2 linked regions of the Danio rerio genome follow. The protein of the gene in region 1 purifies or fractionates together with the protein of each later gene. This does not show direct contact. Links are inferred from orthologs where the notes say so. Each region holds a gene or a part of one and is shown in the gene's direction. Other genes may lie near its edges.

Evidence for each region.
Region 2: the proteins of xrn2 (region 1) and cdkn2aipnl purify together in Homo sapiens (co-immunoprecipitation; 6 studies listed by BioGRID and IntAct, with this or other methods). This does not show direct contact. The link is inferred for Danio rerio from reciprocal best matches to the Homo sapiens genes XRN2 and CDKN2AIPNL.

What each region holds. Positions count from the first base shown.
Region 1 is NC_133195.1:51,912,779-51,923,536, reverse strand, and holds the end of xrn2 (5'-3' exoribonuclease 2), read left to right. Parts: intron 1-4,591; coding exon 4,592-4,703; intron 4,704-7,340; coding exon 7,341-7,403; 3' UTR 7,404-8,397; downstream 8,398-10,758. UniProt on the Homo sapiens protein: Possesses 5'->3' exoribonuclease activity. May promote the termination of transcription by RNA polymerase II.
Region 2 is NC_133196.1:49,533,151-49,544,649, reverse strand, and holds cdkn2aipnl (CDKN2AIP N-terminal-like protein), read left to right. Parts: upstream 1-6,051; 5' UTR 6,052-6,079; coding exon 6,080-6,291; intron 6,292-8,827; coding exon 8,828-8,933; intron 8,934-10,443; coding exon 10,444-10,452; 3' UTR 10,453-10,978; downstream 10,979-11,499. Other genes in the region: jade2 (E3 ubiquitin-protein ligase Jade-2), read right to left, coding at 223-286.

The sequences.
Region 1 (10,758 bases):
GTTTCTCTGCACTAAACAAATGTTGGGCTAAAGAGGGTTTGCGGGGCTTAATGAGGCAGCACTAATGCGCTTGCGGTGCAGGATCTCTTTTTTTTTTTTTTTTTTTTTTTGCTTGGGGGGCCGCACAGAGCCACCATTGATTCTGGCTCCAGACCCACTTCAGCCACTAATCAGCTTCTTTTGCTCCAACTTTTTTCGGCCCCGCAGCCCATTGTGGCCCTGTGTCACCTCAGGTCAGTAGTTATTAGAGCGCAGTTTTTGGGGACGGAGCCCAAAGAAGGAAGCTGGAGAGCAGGGATTATGGATTCCTCTGGAAGATTGTGACCTGCGTGGGTAATGAGGGATGCTGCTGCTGGTCGTCTTTTACTGATGATGGTTTATGTAGCACCAGTGTGTGTAATCAGTCAAGCCTTGCTCACTAGAAAACTGATTTTGTTAGAATGGGACATTTTAAAAGACTACCAGGGAAGATTTTTGTTTTCAGAAATGTCTCCATGAGACGACTTGTTTATTTATTTATTTAATGCTGAATGAGAAAATATATTCTTATTTAGATTTCTTTTTATATTTATTTGTTTTTTTTATTTGTGTGTTTTTTAAATTTTTTAAATAAATTTTTTTTTTTTTTTAGTTAATTTATATTTATTGATTTCCTATTGAAGCCTTGCTCACTATAAAACATTTTATTCTAATGTGAAATTTTTACTAGAGAAGATTTTTTTTTTAAAGTCTTGCCTGGGAAGGCAAAATTTTTTATATGTATTTATTTATTATACTGAATGGGAAAATCTTTAATTTTAATATTTATTATTTTAATATTAATTTGATTTTTTTATATATATATATATATTTTTATAAATTTTTATTTGATAGTTTATTTATTTTATTTATTTATTATATTCGTTTTTACTTCTATTACGTTGATGTCTTTTTTTACATTTGTGTTATCTTTTTGTTTATTTTATTATACATTTTTATTTGATCTTTGTTTTTGTGTTATTAAATATATTTGCGTTTTTAATATGCATTTTACTTATTGTTGTGATCTCTTGAAGCCTTACTTGCTATAAAACTAATTTGACATTTTAAAGAGAAGTAGAGAAGTGTTTTTAAAAATGTCTGCCTGGCAAGACTTATTTTATTCATTCATTATATGTACTGAACATGTGAATCTTATCTAATGTCTTTTATGTTTGTTTATTTATATTTATTTGGTTATTTTATTTATAAATTTTTTATTAATTATTTTTTATTTGTTTAAATGTATTTATTTGTATTTTATATAATTATTTATTTTAACTTATTTATATCATATTATGTTATTTTATGTTATGATGTCTTATTTAAGCCTTGCTATAAAATATTTTATTGATATGAAATTTTAAAGACTTGACTGTTTTTTTATTTTAAAAATGTCTCCCTGGGTAGACTTACTATATATTAATTATTTACTATATATAAACTGAATGGGAAAATCTTATCTAATGTCTTTAATTAAACGTTTTTGTTTTATGTTTGTTTAAATGTTTGATTTAGATTTGATTGTTTTAATTGTTATATATTGCTATTTATTTATTTTTGTTTTTATTTTTTTTATACATTTTTCATGTTCATTATATATTATTTATTATATTTACTGAATAGGAAAATATTATCTAATGTCTTTATTTTACATTTATTTGTTTATTTTTTTACATGTATAATTTTGTTTTAATTTAATGATGCTAGCTTTATATATTGCTATTTATTTATTTTTACGTATTTATTTTTTTGTTTGTTTATTATATATTTTAATTATATTTCCTGAATTTGAAAATCTTATCTTTTATATATTTTTCTATACTTTATGTACTTTTTATTTAGTTTATATTTATTTTTGTATTTTAAATTTTGTGATTTATTTTTATTATATATTTATGTATTGCTATATTTTTATGCATTTATTTTATTTTTTTATATTCATATGTTTTTATTTTTAATCTTGTTAATTTTGCTTTACTTATTTATTTGTCAGCTCTTATTAATATTGTATATGTTTTTTTTTTTTTTTTGATCTATATTGGTCTTGCCATGAAATGAAAAGCCATAAGTTGCTGATGTGGCAAAAAACTAAAATATATACAGATGATGGTTTATGTACCATTAGTGCTTAATCACTGTCAAGCTTTGCTCACTATAAAACAGATTTTATAAGAATGGGAAATTTTAAGAGTACTAGAAAAGATGGTTATCATTTACTTATTTGGAAAATCTAATCTAATGTTTTTTTTTTAATTATTATTAATTAATTTTTAAGGATGGGGAAAATCTTATCTGTTCATTTATTTTTGTTTTATTTGTTAGTTTATTTAGTTTTTATTTATTTATTTTAATTTATTTTCATAGATTTATTTGTATTTTCATTTATTTATTGTATATTTACTATTTATTTTTCATCTCTTATTGAGCTATAAGCTTGTAATTATTATGTAATTTGTTTTATCTATTGATCTTGCCATGGAATGGCAATAAGTTTATGTTATGTTTTGATTTTAAGATTATAAGACATAAGATTATGTTTTGACGAGGTGAGATGAGGTTATGGTTCAGGCGAGTGTTGTGGAAGTGAAAGGGTGAATTGTGCTTCTGAATGCTGCTCAAGTGTCTTCAGCTGAACTCTCGCTCTTTGTGCTGCTGCGATTCAGCTTTTTGGGGTTTCTTTCCAAGCATTCGGTGTAAGATTAGAGATTACTGAAGTCTTAGGAAACTGGAAAATATCCATGATTGATTTTAAAATGTGATTCTTTAAGCTTTAAATGAGATTTGTGGAAGTGACTGTAACTATCTAGAAAAATAATGTTGCGTTTAATTTGTCTGAATATTTTGAAATTATTGCAGTTTAAATTAACTTATTTTAATATTTTTTAAAGGGGAATTTATTCCTGTAGTGCTGTAGTTTTTCTCCAAGTTTTCTCAAGAGTGGTTTAGCAAACATTTCTGTTTTTTTATCAATTTTGAAAACTGTTGTGCTGCTGAATATTTTTGTGGAATCTTTAATTTGTATTTGTAAGATTTCTTAAATTTAAAAAGTTCAAAATAACAGCATTAACAAGAAAATCATTTGTAATATTGTAAATATCTTTACCCTTAAAAAAGAAATGTAACCTTTTAGAATAGATTTATTTATTTTAAAATAAATTAATCTTACAACTTTAGATGCTTAACCTTAATTAGACCCATTAATTAGAATAAAGCCATGAAATGTTGTATATTTAATCAATTTAGCTTTTGATTTATATTGGCATATAAGTGAAAGGCACTTAATTTGTCAACACATTTAATTTGCCAAAATGATTTTAGATACACAAAAAGCAAATTAAATGCAAGTGAAGTCTTAATCTGTCAAGAAATTGTCAAAATAAAATGATAATATAAAATATTCCCTCACCGAACATAACAGATATTAATGTAAAAATAAACGTCTGGCTCAAGCTTATTAAAGCATATAAAGGTTTGAGTGATCGTATTAACATTACTGTGACATATTTAGATATTTTAAATACCTTGTGAATAAATGGGGTACATCATGGTTGAAGTCAGAATTAGCCCCCAATTGATTTTTTTTTTCTTTTCCTTTTTAAATATTTCTAAAATGATGTTTATCAGAGCAAGGAAATTTTCACTGTCAATGATTTTTCTTCTGGAGAAATTTTGTCTGGAATAAAAGCAGTTATTAATTTTTTTTTTAAACATTGAGGTCAAATATTAGTAGCCCCTTAAGCAATTTTTTTTCAGTAGTTTACAGAACAAACCATCGTTATACAATAACTTGCCTAATTAGCCTAACCTACCTAGTTAACCTAGTTAAGCCTTTAAATGTCACTTTAAGCTGTATAGAAGTGTCTTGAAAAACATCTAGTCAAATATTATTTACTGTCATCAAGACAAAGATCAAATAAATCGGTTTTTAGAAGTGAGGTATTAAAACTATTATGTTTAAAAATGTGTTGAAAAATCTTCTCTTCATTAAACAGAAATTGTGGGGGAAAAAAAAAAAAAGAAAATATATATATATATATATATATATATATATATATATATATATATATATATATATATATATATATATATATATATATATATATATATATATATATATATATTTTACCGAGTGTCTTGTTAATCATGAAAAGTTATTTTTCAATAAGGGTTTCATATATAAAATCTATATTATATTTTATAAAATATAGATCTTATATAATAATATATTTTTTAGATGATACATTTAGCCTATATTACAATTACGATTATTATTATTATTATTTATTTTTATTTTATTTTTTTTAAACCAAGTATCATCTTTTAGTCATGGAAAGTTATTTTTAAATTAGGGTTTCAATAATATATAAAATGTATATTATATTTTATAAATTACAGATCTTATATAATGATATATTTTATTTTTACATTAAATATTTAACCTTTATTATATTTATATTGTAAATTATTATTATTTTTATTATTATTATTATTTTTTTTTACCAAGTGTGGTCTATTAGTCACAAAGTTGTCTGTTTTTTTCCTTCATTGCCTTCATGTGTGTTTTGTGCAGGTTCCAGCAGGGATCTCATGGTTGGGATCGAGCCATGCAGAACCAGGGCTCTTCATACCAGCAGAACCAGCAGAGGGGACGAGGAGACTGGAGACCCCAACAAAACCAGCAGGTCTGAGCCCCTTACTCACAAAACATATCCCTAAATTAGCAGTTTTCCATATTTTCTGATTCGTGTTTTTACTCTTCCACATTTGTTTATGCTTTTGCATTATGGGACCTTAATCTTTCTTTCAACCACTTGTACCATTGAGAGGTTCATAAAAGTGACTTTCATTAGCATGGTTAATTGTTTAATGTGCTATATTGTCTGGGTTGGTGTTGTATATCACGCTACAAACACATTGTAATAAAGTGACAGTGCATTTTCTGTTATTTTACAGACTTCTCTATATATACGTCATCATTTTAATCCACTAAAAATGTTAATTAAAGTCACTTTGTTGCTCTTAACATTTCTGTAAAACCCTGCCCAATAATTGCAATCTTTGTTTCACCTCCTACTGATATAAGCATCATATTGACGTTATCGCTTTGGCCTCATTACTAGCTAGATGGCAAATATTGCTAAATTGAAAACCCTTGTGTGCTCCTTTAAATCAGTCCTGGTTTTTTTTTTTTTTTTTTTTTCTCATTTAGAAAAAATGAAATACTCCATCAGGGACTCTGCTAGTTTATTTTATAAAAAGTGGAGCCCAGTGATTTTCTTTTGTTGAGACCTTACCCCGTTCTACCCCTTAGCCCTTCCCCTTACCCAATTATCTTTAGCTAGAGCTAAGGGAAAAGGCTAGATAGCCCTTGAAACTGAGATTTTCCAGAACCACACTTGAAAATTTCCCAGAATACACCATCTACAACAGCAGCATCGCTGCACATGGAAGTCAGGAGATGCACATATTAGTGTTTTTTTGTCATGAATTTTTACAAAAAACAAGCACATGTTTTAATATATTCATAACCACGTTCATGTTTTGCCATCATGCTTTTTAAACACTGCTTAAATAAATTTTGCTATCTGTAATCTCTAATAGTAATCCTGTATGACAGTTCCACAGTCACTCTGAGGCTCGAATACCATGTCAGAAAAGTCTAGTGGCTGGGAATGAGCTTTGTACAGTGTCCGCTATAATGTTAATGTTGTTTTTGTGTGCAAATAGATGAATATGGTCATGGTGTAAATGCACAGTACAGTTACGATCTTATTGCCGCATTATGTTGTTATGATAACAAAATATACGCCGTCAGTGATTTCCTGAAGATTAATACCAAAAAATAGCACAACTGGAATAACTACAGCAGTCGCCATCGTCTGATCTCATGTGTAGCTAGAGATCATGATTACGTGACCAGGTGCTGTAGAGCTGTCCCAGTTCTTAGAGTGTGAAGGACTTAAAATTTTACCCCTGTTTCGAGGACTAAGGGGAAGGAATAAATAGAATTGCGATTAGGCCTGAGTTAAATCAACTTAAATCAACATGCCAGGCTATTATGGGTTGACTACATTTTTTTTATCTGTCATTCAACTGTAAAAAGTGATTAGTTGACTTTTATCGATTCAGCATCGATATCGCAATATGACCGTTCACAATAGTCACATCATAGGATATGCAATGTTGACTTTGCATTTTGTTGAATTAATTTTATTTTTAGAACTTTATTACTGTACCTGAATACTGTTAGACTAGTAAAACGACGAAACTGTTCAGTTGAATTGTGTTTTTCTTTATTGTATTAATGTGTGCTTGTAGATTGTATGCAGATGCTCTCCCATACAGAACAATCCCATGCAATCTGGTGAAATTGTATTCATACCACAATGTTGCAATGTTGTATTTCAGCCCTGCATAATCATAAAAGTTAAGTCAATTGTTGTACTTACTAAGTTGAATCAACTTGTTGCTTTTAAGGCGAGGGGTTTACTCACTTTTTAAAGTAAACTGAAGCCTAGTTTATACTTCTGCATTGAGTAATCTGCGTGAACCACAGCGCCTGTCTTCCGAGTAGCCATGCATTTATACTTCTGCGTGCTGTTTGTGTTCCTCTGCAGTAACACTTCTGAATCTCTTGCTTGCAGTAGGTTTTTATGTTCCTCTGTGTTGTTTCTTCGCTGGTGTTTTGTTTTTACTGAACGCTACCATAACGTACAAGTGGCTCAAACTTGTTTATTCAGAGGCGGAAACCGGCGGAAGTATAAATGCACGGCTACGCGCAAGACATGCGCCGTGGGTCACACCAATCTCTCGACGCAGAAGTATAAACCAGGCTTTAAGCTGCTGTTTTGGTGTATATTGCTTTATTGTTGCTTGTTGTTTTAATTGAACAATGCTGGATTTAACTACCGCTCTAATCTGATTGTCAAATTTAAGTCAAACTTTACCCCTAAACATGTGGTTGTATAGGCTTAATATGCTGAGCGCTAATATATTTCATATCCTAAAGTGCTTGATTAGTTTGATCAGGTGTGTTTAATTAGCGTTGGAACTAAACTGTGCTGAGCAGCAGCCCTCCAGGAACAGAGTTTGACACCTGTGAGCTATAGGGTCTGCTTGTTTTGACAAATAATTTAAAGTATGCGGCTAAGAAATTGCTTGTTTTTGATGGGGCAAGTGCGTTTTTATTTCTGCTAGGCCATTAAAAGGAAATCCTTAGCGTTTAGCCCTGTTTAAGTCTGAAATGTTATTCTTCATGGTCTTAAAAAGGTGTTAAGTTTTTAATTTGTTTCTAAAACACCTCTTTTTTTGTGTCTTAGGGCTTCAATTCTGGACGTGGGTATGGATTGCCTCCAGCCTCACGAAGATACAACTGGAACTAAGCTCAGTCTGATAAGGAAAAAAAATGCAACTTATTTTCTATTCCAAGCAAACATTGTCTCCTTTTTTTGGCCTGTTGATTTGTAAACTTTTTTTTTTTTTCTCTCATTGTTTTACTGATCAAATGTTCTTATGTATTAACTTTTAAGAATATGCTGTAAAGCTTATGAAATACACATGAGACAAGCCTGATTTTGAGATTTTTATTTTATTTCGTGTGTGTGTGTGTGTGTGTGTGTGTGTGTGTGTGTGTGTGTGTGTGTGTGTGTGTGTGTGCGCATATTTTAGGTTTTCATTTGATTCTCAATTTTGATGCAGATCAGTTTATAAAAACTCCTAATTCGTTACTGTGTCAGTTTGTGTAGTGTGTTAATCTTTAAATGAATATTCATAGCTTATCTCTTGGTGATTATAGATGCAGATCAACAACAATGAGAGTGTTTAAAGGAGTCTTGAATTAATTAATTGGTTAAACAATAATAGTAATAGATATGGCTGGCACGTGTGAATATCATGAGTAAATCTGCTCCTGTTTAAGTAGAGCTACACTTTTGAGTTTATTAACATTTTGAAATGTGTATATATAATTTACAGTTTGATTTCAATGATGATATACATTTTAGGTCAAATCTAAATGCGCATTTCATTTTTTTTTATTGCTACTCGTTAAAGTTTTTGTATTTTAGGCTTTAATGCCCATTTATTTTAATTGTTTCCATGCCTTACATTAAAATTGGATTAAACGATGCAAAAACAACTTTAATTCACAACACATTCTCTATTAGGCTAATATTTTGTTGACATTTTTTCCTTATGTTATTATGTTGTTGTTAAATGTAGATTTAGCGGGGCAAAAAGTTGACATTTCTCAAGGTTTAAGACTTTTGCTGAAGCTTCCTTAAGACTTCTTTGTTTTAGTTTCGTAAATTGTGAAACAAACTTTGATTTCCTGATTAAATGTTTGATTAAAACACATTTTAAGAACGTTTAAAAAAATCCGAGTCACTTATTTTTGGTTGAAACTGCCGCGAAATATTTGTTTCGCTCAAACGGAGACGTAATAAGCTAGATATCTTTGCTATGGAACAGACAAACGTGGATATTTGAGTCCCTAAACTGAATTGCTGACCTATTTTACAATCTTAATTACGTTATTTAAACTATTTAACAACAGCTTTTAATGCCTTAAAATTCCCTTCGGTCTGGATTCTAATAACCAAGGGTGTAGATTCGCTCTTGACATTGGTGGGGATATACATCCCTAGAGGACATGCATTGAACAGCACAAATTCTGTTTCGCCCTTTTAAAATATTACTAAAGTACTTAATGATATAAAATAAACACTTAATAAAATTAACAATCGTGTCCCATGCTGTAAAAGTCAATTTACATGATTTTACTGCAGTCCGAGCGGAGGAATGAATGTAGAGAAATTTAGAGAGGTGTGTGATGCAGTTTCGCTGTTTTATCTCGATTGTTTTTCATAGGCACATAGGCCATAATCAAACAGAATTTTAATTAATTGCACTGCCTTGGTTGATAGTATTAAGATGAACCAGCAGCGACCTTGGTGCACGTGTAGGTTAGGAGTTGAAGGAGCATTACTTTATTTTAAAGTCGATTAAATTATAGGGACATTTCAGTAATTGTTTGATATTCGTAGGTACACGTGCCCTTCGTCCATGCCAATTCTACACCCTTGCTAATAACTGGAAGTTGTAACTGTATATTAAAGTATATTGTAAAGGGTGTAGAATTTGAGACGGAGGGGACATGTCCCCCATAATATCTAACAATTACTGAAATATCCCTACCAATAATTTAATCAACTTCAAAGTAGTCTGATGCTCCTTCAACTCTTAACCTACACGTGCACCAAGTCAAGTTTGCTGCTAGTTCACCGTAGTACTATTAACCAAGGCAGTGCAATTAATTAAAATTCAGTTTCGATTTTGGCCTCCATGATTAAGAAAAGCAATAATCAAGATAAAGCAGTTCTGCATCACACACCTCTCTAAATTTCTCTGTTCACACCTCCTCAAGGCCCTACTGCAGTAAAATCATGTAACTTGACTTCTGCAGCATGGGACGGGATTGTTATTTGTATTAAGTGTTTATTTATATTTTTAAGTATGTTATTCGTGTTTTTAAAAGCTCGAAACAGAATGTGTGCTGTTCATGCGCTTTAGGGATGTGTGTCCGTCCCTACCAATGACGAGAGCGAATCTGAGCCCTTGGTATTTTTACTCTAACTACACTGCAAAAAAAGAGAAGAAATATGATAAATAATTCCTGACAGCATATGTTTTAGCTCATTGTAACTTTTTAAACTTAGTTAATCATGTTCTTAATTGTGTAAGTTGCGCAAGCTGTTTTAAGTCAGTTTAACAAGTTCAATGGACTCATACGGTTTAATTTAATTCAGCTTAATTTAAGACAACCATGATTTTTTACAGTGTGTAAGTACTGAATTAACTATGAACAGAGGCCTATCAGTCCCCTCCATTTTAGAGAAAAACCATGTAGAAACGGGTAATAAATAATAAATGAACGTAAACTTTTGGATCTCATACAACTGCCCCTCCCACCACTTTAAAATATCCGCTACGCCCCTTGCTGGCAGTATTTGCACTAATTATATTAATAATAATTTCTAATAGACCAATAATTCAAAGAATGATGAATATAACTGCCGCTTGTTTGCTCCGTCACACTGTGTCGAACAAAACAGCTGTTTTTTCGCATTTGCAGCACTCATATTTATTGTTTGTCATTAAACTTACAAAAAAAAAAAACTCCAGGAAAGCATTCTTTGTGCAGTGTTAAATATTTACACAAAACATTTCTTCATCTAGGCCTACATCTTTTTTATTATGATTTATTATTATTATTTTACAAAGCATCAGGAAAAGATGTCTGATTAATGGCATCACACTAGACTAGTCTTCATCACACATCCCCTCGCTCAAACACACACACTCATGCGCGTGAAGGGTTTTAGTTGGTGTGATTTCACCAAGTAGGACGTTCCTGGATTAACATTTAAGGTTGATCCTGAAACATCGTATTCAGTCAATCAGATTAAATGGATGCTTTTACAGTTTGCTACACGTAGTTGTATTTTGCTGCTTTATCGAACTACTTGCATAAAATGAGTTGCAACAACACAATGCTTCTGTGTTGTTTGTGGGGAGACAATTTTGTTCAATTCACATGCATTGGTAAAAACGTTAAAAGTCAGGCCTAAATTAATCGATTTGTGTTGGGACAACATGAAGGAATTGTGCGGAAACCAGCATTTCTTTACACTAATATAGACCATTTCAATGTGGTGTAGCATTAGCCTATGAACATTT
Region 2 (11,499 bases), on another chromosome or scaffold:
CTGCTTGTCCGTGTGTCTCTTGTGTCTCTTGTGTGATCAGTGCGTGTGTGTGTTTGTGTATGTGTGTGTGTGTGTGTGTGTGTGTGTGTGTGCTTGTCTGTGTGTATCTGTGTGTGTGCGTGTAGGTGCTTGTGTTTTTTTGTGCTTATGTTTGAGCGTGTGTGTCTGTGTGTGTGTGTGTGTGTGTGTGTGTGTGTGTGTGTGTGTGTCAGCATTACTCACTGTCAGTGGTGTCAGAGTCGTTGCTGCTGGTGGAGTATTTCCTCCTCTTCATCTCACTCTCCATCTGTCAGGACAAGAGGATCACACTCATGAACGTGTGTGTGTGTGTGTGTGTGTTGATAGCTTTACTGGAAACAGTGTGACAGCAGGAAATAGTTCACCCAATTTTGACAGATTGATGTGTGCACTAGATTTATATTCATTCATTCATTTTCTTTTCAGATTAGTCCCTTTATTCATCAGGGGTCGCCACAGCGGAATGAACCGCCAACTTATCCAGCACATGTTTTACACAGCGGATTCACTTACAGCTGCAACCCATCTCTGTGAAACACCCAGACACACTGTCTGCTGCATGTGTTTGGACTGTGGGGGAAACCGAAGCACCCAGAGGAAACCCATGATAACACATGGAGAACATGCAAACTCCACACAGAAACACCAACTGACCCAGTCGGGGCTCGAACCCACATCCTTCTTGTTGTGAGGCAACAGCATTACCTACTGCGCCACTGCATCGCCACTAGATTTATATGTGTAAAATAATAGTCTAAAATACACAAGCACTCTTATTTTGAAATGTGTCTGCTTTGCTGTTGCTGGCTGCTCATTTAAAGCAAACCTGCAGCAGACAGATGCTCAAGACAGTTCTGGAGGGAATAATAATAGTAGAATAATAGTGAAGCATTATGATGACGGACAGACACACACTCACAGACTCACACACACACACACTCACGCACACACACAAACACACTCATTCATTCATTTTGAGGGGCATTTTTTCCTCCTTGAGAAAAAAGATCAGGTGCTCAAGCACACAGAGCCCCACCTGTGCACATTCCTGAAGACTCTTCTCATTTACTTTCATTGAATAAAAAATGCACATTTCAAAACAATTCACAGGACTTTTAAAGTTCTCATAAACCAGAAGCTGCAATCATTTTTCGCATTGTGAAGCAATTCCTAGACAAACTGAATATTAAATGAGAAAATAGTGGGCGTGGCTTGATTTTTATACTGCGACCTGATTGGCTGTAGTAAAGGATTTGGGGAGAGTTATTACAACCTAACAGACTCCTCCTCCTCACCATTTCCGTTGCCAAAACTGACCGCTGGGGGCGTGGTTAAGTATGCAAGCCCCGCCCGATACCTCAAACAGACCTAATCTTAGAATTTAACTGAAAACAAACAGGTAGTGCATTTGCATATTTCAATTTTAGATTACATGTTTTTCTTAATGACATGCAGATGAATTGTTCACCCAAAGACTAGCAATGTGAGCTAACAAAATAATTATGGTTAGTTTTGTTTTCAGTGTGGCTCACAAACATTTAAAGACAAAATAATAATAATAAAAATAATAATAATAATAATAATAATAATGTAAAAAATACTACACGTTTTCTAGACCACGCCCCGTGTGTGTGACGTCAAGCCGCCGTGTGCAGCTGAAGGGGGCGTGGTCGCTGACCTGCAGGGCTTGTTTGTGAAGCGCGTTTAGGCCACTCGCTCACTCCAAGCTGAGAAGTTGAGCAGCAGCAGCAGCAGTACTCCACACAGACTGAAGAGTTCAGCAAACAAATAAACCGCGAACGAGCCCGTACAAGCAGACAGAATTCAGGCAGCAAACGACCGACATGAGCATGAAACAACGGTCAAAAACTGCAGAAAAGGCACATTTTTTCGGCTTTACCTCTTCTGCGGAGAGAGGGTGTGATGGTGATGATGAAGATGATGATGGTGTCCTCGCAGAGATCAGAGGATCATCCGAGGCCACGCACCCTCCTCGGCCCCGATAAAAGTTACTGTGTGCGGCTGAGATGCCCGAGCCGACGGCATATTACAGCCGTCCTAAAACTGCCGCTTCAGAAAACAGCACAGCACGCTTCGTCATCCGCAAAACTGTTTCTGGTGTCCTCACATCCTGCGAAGTGAAGCTGTCGACACACAAGCGCGCTCCTCTTCACATTCTGCGTGTATTCCTGCGCGAAACACCAGCTCACACTTACAACTCTTTTGGCGCCATATTAATGACGTACCAAAAAATTTCCGTTAGCAGCGGGCGCAGGAGCCGAGCGTTGCGAGCGAGCGTCACGCACGGCGAGCGGGGGGAAACGGGCGAAAAAGCGCGTTGCGTTTACCTGTCAAGTTTGAAAATGTCCATCAAGACGCGAGCGTGAAGAAGAAAGTCTCCTCAAGCGAGCGCGCGGGGCGGTTCGCGAAAATAATCGACCATTTTACTGTGAATCCGATGGGGGGAGCCATGAACAAACAGCCGAGAGGAGGAAACACAACAAACATCCTCACTGTCAGCGCTGTTCCGGATCTCTCACACACACACACACACACACACCATCAGCGTCTCCAGATATGGCCATCTACAGTGTTTTAGAACCATACTGTAGTAAAGTGTGTATATTATAGTATTACAGCTCTGTTAATGAACGCTCCTGCATACTGTAGCATAGTGAACTGATAGACTACTGTATACTGTATAGTTTTACTACACCTTACCCACACTACAGCTGCTGAGAAAACTACTGTATTAGGTCATTTGTTTATAATACTATAGTTATCATAGCAACTAGATAGGAATCATCACAGTGTTTAGTTCAAACACTTTAGCTGTTCAAAAATATAGTTTTTAAACTATGAAACACTGGTCTATTTTTACATTAGGGATGGTTTAAATATTATTTACAACCCTTTGTTAAATGAATGTTCCAGCATACTGTATTAGTTACCTGATTACTGCAGTAAACTGGTGTATTGTAGTTTATAGTTGGGTTGTTGCTAGATGAGATTCAGATATCGCTGAAAGATCAGGAGAATTAAATTATTAAACTGCCCAGTTAATGTAACTTTTAAAGTCTACCCCAATCCTCACAGTCATGTAAAATTATGAAATATTGTACAGTGTCACAGAGAAGATTCTATATTGATGTGTGTATCTGCAGCTGTATCCCTTCTATTCTCCACCCTATAGTTGTAGTAAACTACAGTGTTTACTATAGTTGTGTTAACCACTACAGCAGATCAACTCAAGTGCTTTACTGTAGTGTGCTATTTTTGATATTTGGGATGTTTTAGACTTCTGCTTTTACAGATTAATATGTTTTCCTGGGTTTGTAAACTTTCAACATTTAGCACACTATAGGTATACGTCAATACAATACTATAGTACGTTATAGTAAACGCTGATGTTTATGAACCATACTGTAGTAAAGTGTGTATATTATATTATTTACAACTTTGCTATTGAATGCTCCAGCATACTGTAGTATTGACTAGTAACCTGTGGTGTTTATTATAGTTGCTGATAACTACAGTATTGGGTCATTTGTTCATGTGATCATAGTTGTGTTTTTATAGACTGATGACTGAGAAATGCGAGCTCTTCACTGTAGTATGCTTCAAATACACCAGTTTAAGGCCATTTTTACAGCTTAATTTTTTCTGGGTTTGTGGACATTTTACACATTTTGTATTTAAGTAAGTTTTATTTATATACACAGTTGAAGTCAGAATTATTAGACCGCTTGTTTATTTTTTCCCCCAATTTCTGATAAATGGAGAGCAGATTTCTCCAACACATTTCTAATCATAATGATGTTAATAACTCATCTCTTATAGCTGATTTATTTTCTCTCTGTCATGATGACAGTAAATAATATTAGACTAGATATTCTTCTAGACACTAGTGTTCAGCTTAAAGTGACATGTAAAGGCTTCGCTATAGGGTAACTGGGCAGGTTAGGGTAATTAGGCAAGTCATTGTAGAACGATGGTTCAAAAAAAATCTTAAAGAGGCTAATAATTTTGTCCTTAAAATGTAAAAAAAAAATTAAAAACTGCTTTTATTCTCGCTGGAATAAAATAAATCAGACTTTCTCCAAAAGAACAAATATTATCAGACATACTGTGAACATTTCCTGAATCTGTTCAACATCATTTGAAAAATATTTAAGGAAGAAAAAAATCTTAGGGGGCGAATAATTCTGACATTAACTATTGCATTTATACACATTTATTTATTTCTGATTAATCAATACTGTTAGAATCCCAAAAGCGAAATAAAGAGTTGCCAGTCTATATGGGTTTTTGCAGGGTATGTGTTGATTGATGAACTGATGGTCTTTCTGTTTGCTATCTCTTATTTGAAGTGAGCCCTGTGGGTTTCCCTACATATCTTAAGTTTAATGGTGAATGTTTCTACATTACAAAAAACATTTTCTTATAGAGTTACTCAGAGTTTTCTCTTGTTTCTAGTTCAAATATCTGAGAAATTTTAATTCTCAAGCTTGCCTGAGGACATTTTTGAACAATATGTCAAACAAAAATAAAAAATGCAGATAAAACATAACTTAATGAAGGTTTGAGCCTATAACATCCTCAATGTGTCAACCAAACACACACACACGCGCACACACACACACACACACACACACACAGATCTAATGAGTACTACAGTCAATAGTGTCACTGATACTTTCATAAAAATGTTATTTTATTTCCCTCATCACCCACCAGATATCCCTAAAGTCGCCCCATTTTTAGATTTTAAACCGACTGCAGTGACCTTTATGCTGAAGTAAAACTAAGAATAATCCATAAGCATATTTTCATAAACATCAGACTGGTCTAAAACTTGAGCAAACACTCAAAGAAGACCTGATTCAACAGTTAGGTCCAACTTAAAACTAACTAAAAACAAACTTTTTGTTTGTCCAATAAATCTAACACAACACAGATAACAATGTACTTAAATAAATGTCTGAGGCTGTACACACACACACCACACACACACACACACACACACACAGTCCTCCCAGAACACCATTGAAAATTGTTGCCATCGACTTTTATGTGTTACATTTTGAGGTTTTTAATGATGAACAGTGTCCTTTAATTATTTAATCTATTTAATTATTTAGTTATATATTTATTTATAATTTAATTATATGCTGTTTCTTTGTAAAATAAGTAAATAAAATGTGTGTGTGGTCAAATTACAATACTAAATTGTAATTGCTAAATTGCAAATCAAAGATTGTAATAAAATAATTTAATTTTTTAATTTAAAGCTAAATCAATGAAAAATAATTTAAAAGGTTACTTTACCAAAACATAAAGAAATAAATTTACTCACTACTCTCACTCAAGGGGCTACAAACCTTTATGAATTGCTTCTGTTGAACACAAACGAAGAAAACCTGTAACCATTGACTTACATTGGAAATAGAAACACCGTGGAGTCAATGGTTACAGGTTTCCAACATTTTTTAAAATATCTTCTTTTGTGTTTAACAGAAGAAAGACACTCAAACAAGTTTAAAACAAGTAAAGGGAGTTTTTTATTGTATCTGAATCGGACACAGTAAACAGCATTTTTAAATGTATTCTGTTCAAAGTAAACCGTTTAAAGGTGGCGCTGTGCCTTTAATAAGGTCTAGAAGGGATACAGCTGCGGATACTTACATCAACAATAATTAATAGTTTTACATTACTGTGAGGAAAGGGGTAGATGTTAATAAGTTACAGTTAATTGGTAATTTAATAACTAATATAAACAATCCTCTTCAAAATTAATGTGAGGGAATAGACGTTATTAAAATATGAACAAAATATGAATGGGTAACTTAATAAATAATAAGAATAATACTCAGTATAATGACTATTTTTCCATTATTGCTAGAGTTAGAGTAGACGTTAATTAAATACAGGTCAGTTACAACATCAACAATTCTCGTTCACTTCCGACCGCAGCTGTATCGCTTCTAGCAACACCGCTTTTGAGAGCGCGCTGTCGCGACCGGAAAAAGAACACCGGGGAGTGACGTCATCGCTCGTAACAATGGCGTCCATGGATGTGGAGGAGTTTATCGGTCAGAACCGGCAGCTGGCTGACCGGGTTGAGGCTTTCCGCGGGTTCTCGGAGAGCGACAAACACTGGAAGGGCAGGCGGGAGTTCATCTTCAGGAACATGGCGGACTTCCCGGAGCCGCAGGTGGATCATCTGCTCGCGCTCTCCATGGTCTGGCAGAACCACGTGTTCATGGGCTGCAGGTATGAGCATCACAACAACAACAACAACAACAACACTAGTAGAGCTAAAACAACCAGCAGCTTTAACACAGCATAAAGAGCAACACCATACAGCAGAATCACCCGATCAGAACAGCTTCAATACAGTGCAGTACTAATGCAGTATACTCCAGGACTGCACACTATCTGCTCTTTCAATACAGGTAAAGGTGGTTTTATATTCGCACATTCGCTCATTTAGCAGGCTCTGTATTGTTTATTATGCTACTTTGAATATTGGATCGGAATTAGCATGCAAGTGTGACTTGTAAACATCATTAACACTGTCTAACTGACTGTGAACAATGCTGTACTTTGATAGATAGAGGTAAAGTTGGTTTTATATTGAGATATTCAGACATTCTCCTTAATAATAATGTCAGAAAAGTATTCTTGGCAAATTCTAAATAGGGAAATCATTTACATTTACATTTACAGTCATTTAGCAGACGCTTTTATTCAAAGCGACTTACAAATGAGGACAAGGAAGCAATTTACACAATAAGAGCAACAATGAAGAAGTGCTGTAGGCAAGTTTCAGGTCTGTAAAGTCTAAGAAGGAAAGTATTAGTAATTTTTTCATATTAGCTGCTGAATCATATTAGCAGCCAATGATTATAAAAGTATAGCATTGTTCACAGTCAATTAGACAGTGTTAATGTTGTTCAGCAGTCATACTGGCATGCTAATTATGATCCAATATTCAAGTTAACATGGTAAGCAATGTAGAGGCTGCTAAATGAATGAATGTGCCAATATAAAACCAACTTCACCTCTATCATTGACAGTCATTGGCTGATAATATGATTTCCCTATTTAGAATTTGCCAAGAATACTTTTCTGACATTATACTATTAAGGAGGATGTCTGAATATCTCAATATTAAACCAACTTTACCTCTATCTTCCCATATATAGAGATTTATCTGGTCAAATTGTGTTCATTTTGCAAAATAAAAAATATTGCATTCAGTTCAATAGTGCTGATGTTGTTTTAAAGTCTTTCAGAGCCAGTATACACAAAGCTCACCACAAACTTCCTGAAATTAAATGACACTAAAACTGTACTCCTCCTTATAGGAACACCATCCACTTTAAATAAATCAGTTTTCCCATTCCCACAGAGGATTCTGTCATGACCTCCTCCCCTCAGGTTCAGAGTCTGGGGGTCACCTTTCATTCAATGCACATGTTAATAATGTCACCCGGTCCGCCTATTTCCACCTTCGACATATAAATGGTTTACATCCTTCCCTCACCCCTCACTCAGCTGCCATTCCTGTTCATAGTTTAGTCACATCCCGTTTAGATTACTGTAATTCCCTTCTGTTTGACCTCCCTAAAAAAACTCTTCATAAATGACATCTGGTACAAAACGCTGCAGCCCGCATGATCACAAACACCCCCTCTGCCTGTCCCATCACACCCATTCTACAACAGCTTCACTGGCTTCCCGGCTCTTTATGAAACACTTCTTCTCACCTTTAAAGCCGTCCACAGTCTCGCTCCTCCATAGCGTGCTAGTCTTGTTCATATGGCCACAGCTTCTCCAACACTCAGGTCTTCTTCTTCCATTCACCTCACTGTTCCTCTGTCCGCCTTGTCACCATGGGGAGCAGATCCTTCAGCCGCTCTGCTCCTCAGCTTTCACTCCCTCCTGATCTCCGTAGTTTAGACTCTCTTTCATAATTTAAACTCCAAACACATCTGTTCAGAACAGCCTACTCTCTCAGACCCGACTGCATTTTAAAGCTTGTGTTGTAGTCTATTGTTTTTATTTGAATTGATTGTTTTAGCTGTCCTGTACAGGGCCTTGAGTGTCATGAAAGGCGCCATTAAATAAAATGCATTATTAATATTAAATAAAGCAGCTGTGAATAATATAGAGAGAGCGTCACAAGTTGTGCTCATAACAGTACACCACTATAATAATGAACCTGTACTGCTTTACTGTTTATTGAACACCAAAGTCTGAATGTGTGAATGTGAAACCAACTTCACCTCAAATATAATGCGTTATTGTATGAATAGAGGCATTATAACACCATTCATGTCTTATAAACAATGCTCAGATGATGTTATACATGTAGCAGAAAGCAGTGAAAAGCATCTGACTGATCAATACTTTGACCTCAGAGGAAGCACAGATATTGCGGGTTACAGAGGTTTTTCCAGAAGGATCAACTCAAGAGTAAGAGTACTGCTCTCAGAACTGCTTATGAAATAACATAAGGAAATGTGGCATTGTTAAATGCTATTATATTGTTTATTAATGCACTATAATGTTAAAGTGTTAATGTAGAAAGCTCAGGGATGCAGTAGGCTGGCTGTTCAGCTGAATGTATGGCCAGTGAATGTGTTCAGAACAGTGCAAATAAACCACATTCTGGGCATTACCTGTTTCATGGAGCAGAATTATACAGCTGTAATCATTCAGTGTCAGCCTTTTCATCAGTTTTTTTACCTGAGCATTGACTAAAGCTGGTGTGTAGTGTGTAAGTGGCGCTGTGTTTGTGCAGATACAGCTCAGAGCTGCTGCAGAGGGTGATGGAGATGGCGGAGGGCATCGAGGTGGAGGACGCTCCAGTCTTCAAGACCAGAGATGAGATCATCAGACAGCAGAAGGTCAGAATCTACACCTGAACACCAGCACTGCTAACATCAGCGGCAGGCCTGTGCGATTTGGGGAAAACGTCTAATTGCAATTTAATTAATGTATTTATTAGACAGATACTGCCATTTCAAGCTGCGATCTAATTGTGTGTTCAAGCTTCAGCTCAATGTTCTGTATCTTAGCTTCTCATTCCTGCTAAAATGCAGTGAGTGTCGGATCAAAACTGAAAAGATATTAACTGTAATTTGACAGTTATAAAAACGCATTGAAACGTGTGCGTGTTTTATAATATGCTGTAATAAATGTAAACGTTTCTTATGATTTATCATGTATATGTAGACAATACATCAAACATCAGAGGCCTCATGTATGAAGACTTGCGTGGAAATTATGTAAGAACATTGCGTACACTCACAGCTGTAAATGTGCGTACGCAGAAAATAATTCAGATGTATGAAACACTGCGTACGCCGAATCTCACACATATTCTTTTGTACATCTGAATGAACGTGAAACTGAGTGCAACATGCACGAGCACAAAACCCCTCCCTTCCTCCGCCCACGTATGGATATGCAAATGACTCTACTTTGGGAAAACCCAACGAAAAAGCAACGGCAAAAGCACACAAGAAGAGAAACTTTGAACAGAATGTGAATTGAAGGTGCTGCTTTCGGAGGTAGACCGGAGAAAAACTGTGTTATTTGCAAGTTTGTCCTCTGGAATTAACAACAAAAGAAAAATTGAGTGGGAGAGTTTTTTTATACACAGTTGGGTCTGAACATCGCACTGAGTGGATTAAAAGAGAAATAGTGCGATCTATAGGTGTAAAATTTTGGATTATCTTTAACATCCTAAGTTGCGCAGCTCGGTAAACCCATGGCAACATGTTTTGACACGTTCAAGCATGAACTCGGTTCGAGTCCAGCGGCTGATGAACTTACTCTCCATTTTCCCCGCTACATGTCAGATTTCGCCTATATACTCTTTATCATGAGAAAGTTTGGATGGTCAACTGTATGGTACGGAAACCTTATATACTAGACATGCGGATGAACTCGTCTCATACAGCAGAGAAGACATTTGTAGTGTGCAATTTAACACAACCGCCTCTAGGAGTCGCCAATGGAAATAAAACAGACACACACAAAAAATGTGCGTACACCAGCCATGAAGCTGGCGTGGAGCTGCGCACATTCCCACGTTCAGTTCATCGTTAGTAAATCCAAACGTGAGCGATTCTGAGCGTGAAACCTGGCGTACGCAAAGTTTTTGTGCGTACGCAGCGTTGATACATGAGGCCCCAGAGCTGGAAAAGTCCTGGAATTTTTATAGTAAAAGTGTGTATAAACCCTGCATATATACACCAAGCAAACCGCTCTAGAGGTGTCGCTCCATACACACAAGCATGCCGTACTGTTTATGAAATGATGCATTGGGGAAACAGAACCATTGAACTGTATTCATAACTAATGTTTTGTCTGTCTGTCTGTGTGTGCGTGTGTGTGTGTGTGTGTGTGCAGCAGCGGTGATGCCTGAGCGACTGCACGTCTACATGAGGAGCAGGGAGATCATCAGCATCACTCATCTACTGTACATATGAGGAGCAGTTTTATACCGTGTTGTTGTTGTTTTTATTTACTGTAACTGAAATGATCAGTATAAGTCATGTTAATGCGCTGCAGTTCTTGTGCCCCAAATGCATTTATTGCATTGACTTGCCTAATGTACAGCTGATGTCCTTATCTGGTTGCATCTGCTGTAGCCTATGCAGATGATGCTTTAATAAACTCCACCGATGTGTTTTTAATGCAATAAAGCGGATTCAGAAGTTGTGCAATGGAAACACTCTTCTGATGATAATACTGCAGCTTTTCCTGCTGAATATGATCTCGAAGTGGACTGCTGTGATGATGACTGGCTATTCATTATTATAACTGGCCTGTTTTTTATGTCGTGTATTCACCTTCTCTCATCTGTGTTCTCAGATAGATTGATTATTTAGTTTTTAGCATGTATTTGAGCTCATGAGTGTCAATAAAGCCTCCGTTCTCTCCACTCCGTGTCTGCAAAATGTTTTATTATATTTGTTTTGTATACAGCATATTAGAAGTATAAATGTCTTCTCTTATGATAAATTCACAAAAAGTAACTCTGGAAAGATCCCTCAACACCACAGTATGGCCCTTTACTTAAACACACCGAGCAGAAGAATATCGGCAAATACAGATTATTAGAAAAAGAGGAAGATTCCCAGAGCAGACGGGATCATCATCATCAGGAGCGGCTGTTTTCACTTGTGTTAAAGGGTTAGTTCACACTGAAATTGGAGCTGTCATCATTTACTCACTTTTTACTTCAATCAGTTTCTTCTGTTGAATATAAATTAAGATATTTTGAAGAATGTTGGAAACCTGTAACTTGATTTCCATAGCATTTGTTTTTCTAAGTATAAAAGTCAATGGTTACAGGTTTTCCAACACAATCTCACGGCAATTCGTAACTTTTTGATTTAGTGGCTAATTCGTATAATCTAATTCGTACAATTTAGTACGACCTGCTCATCCCCCAATAACGTT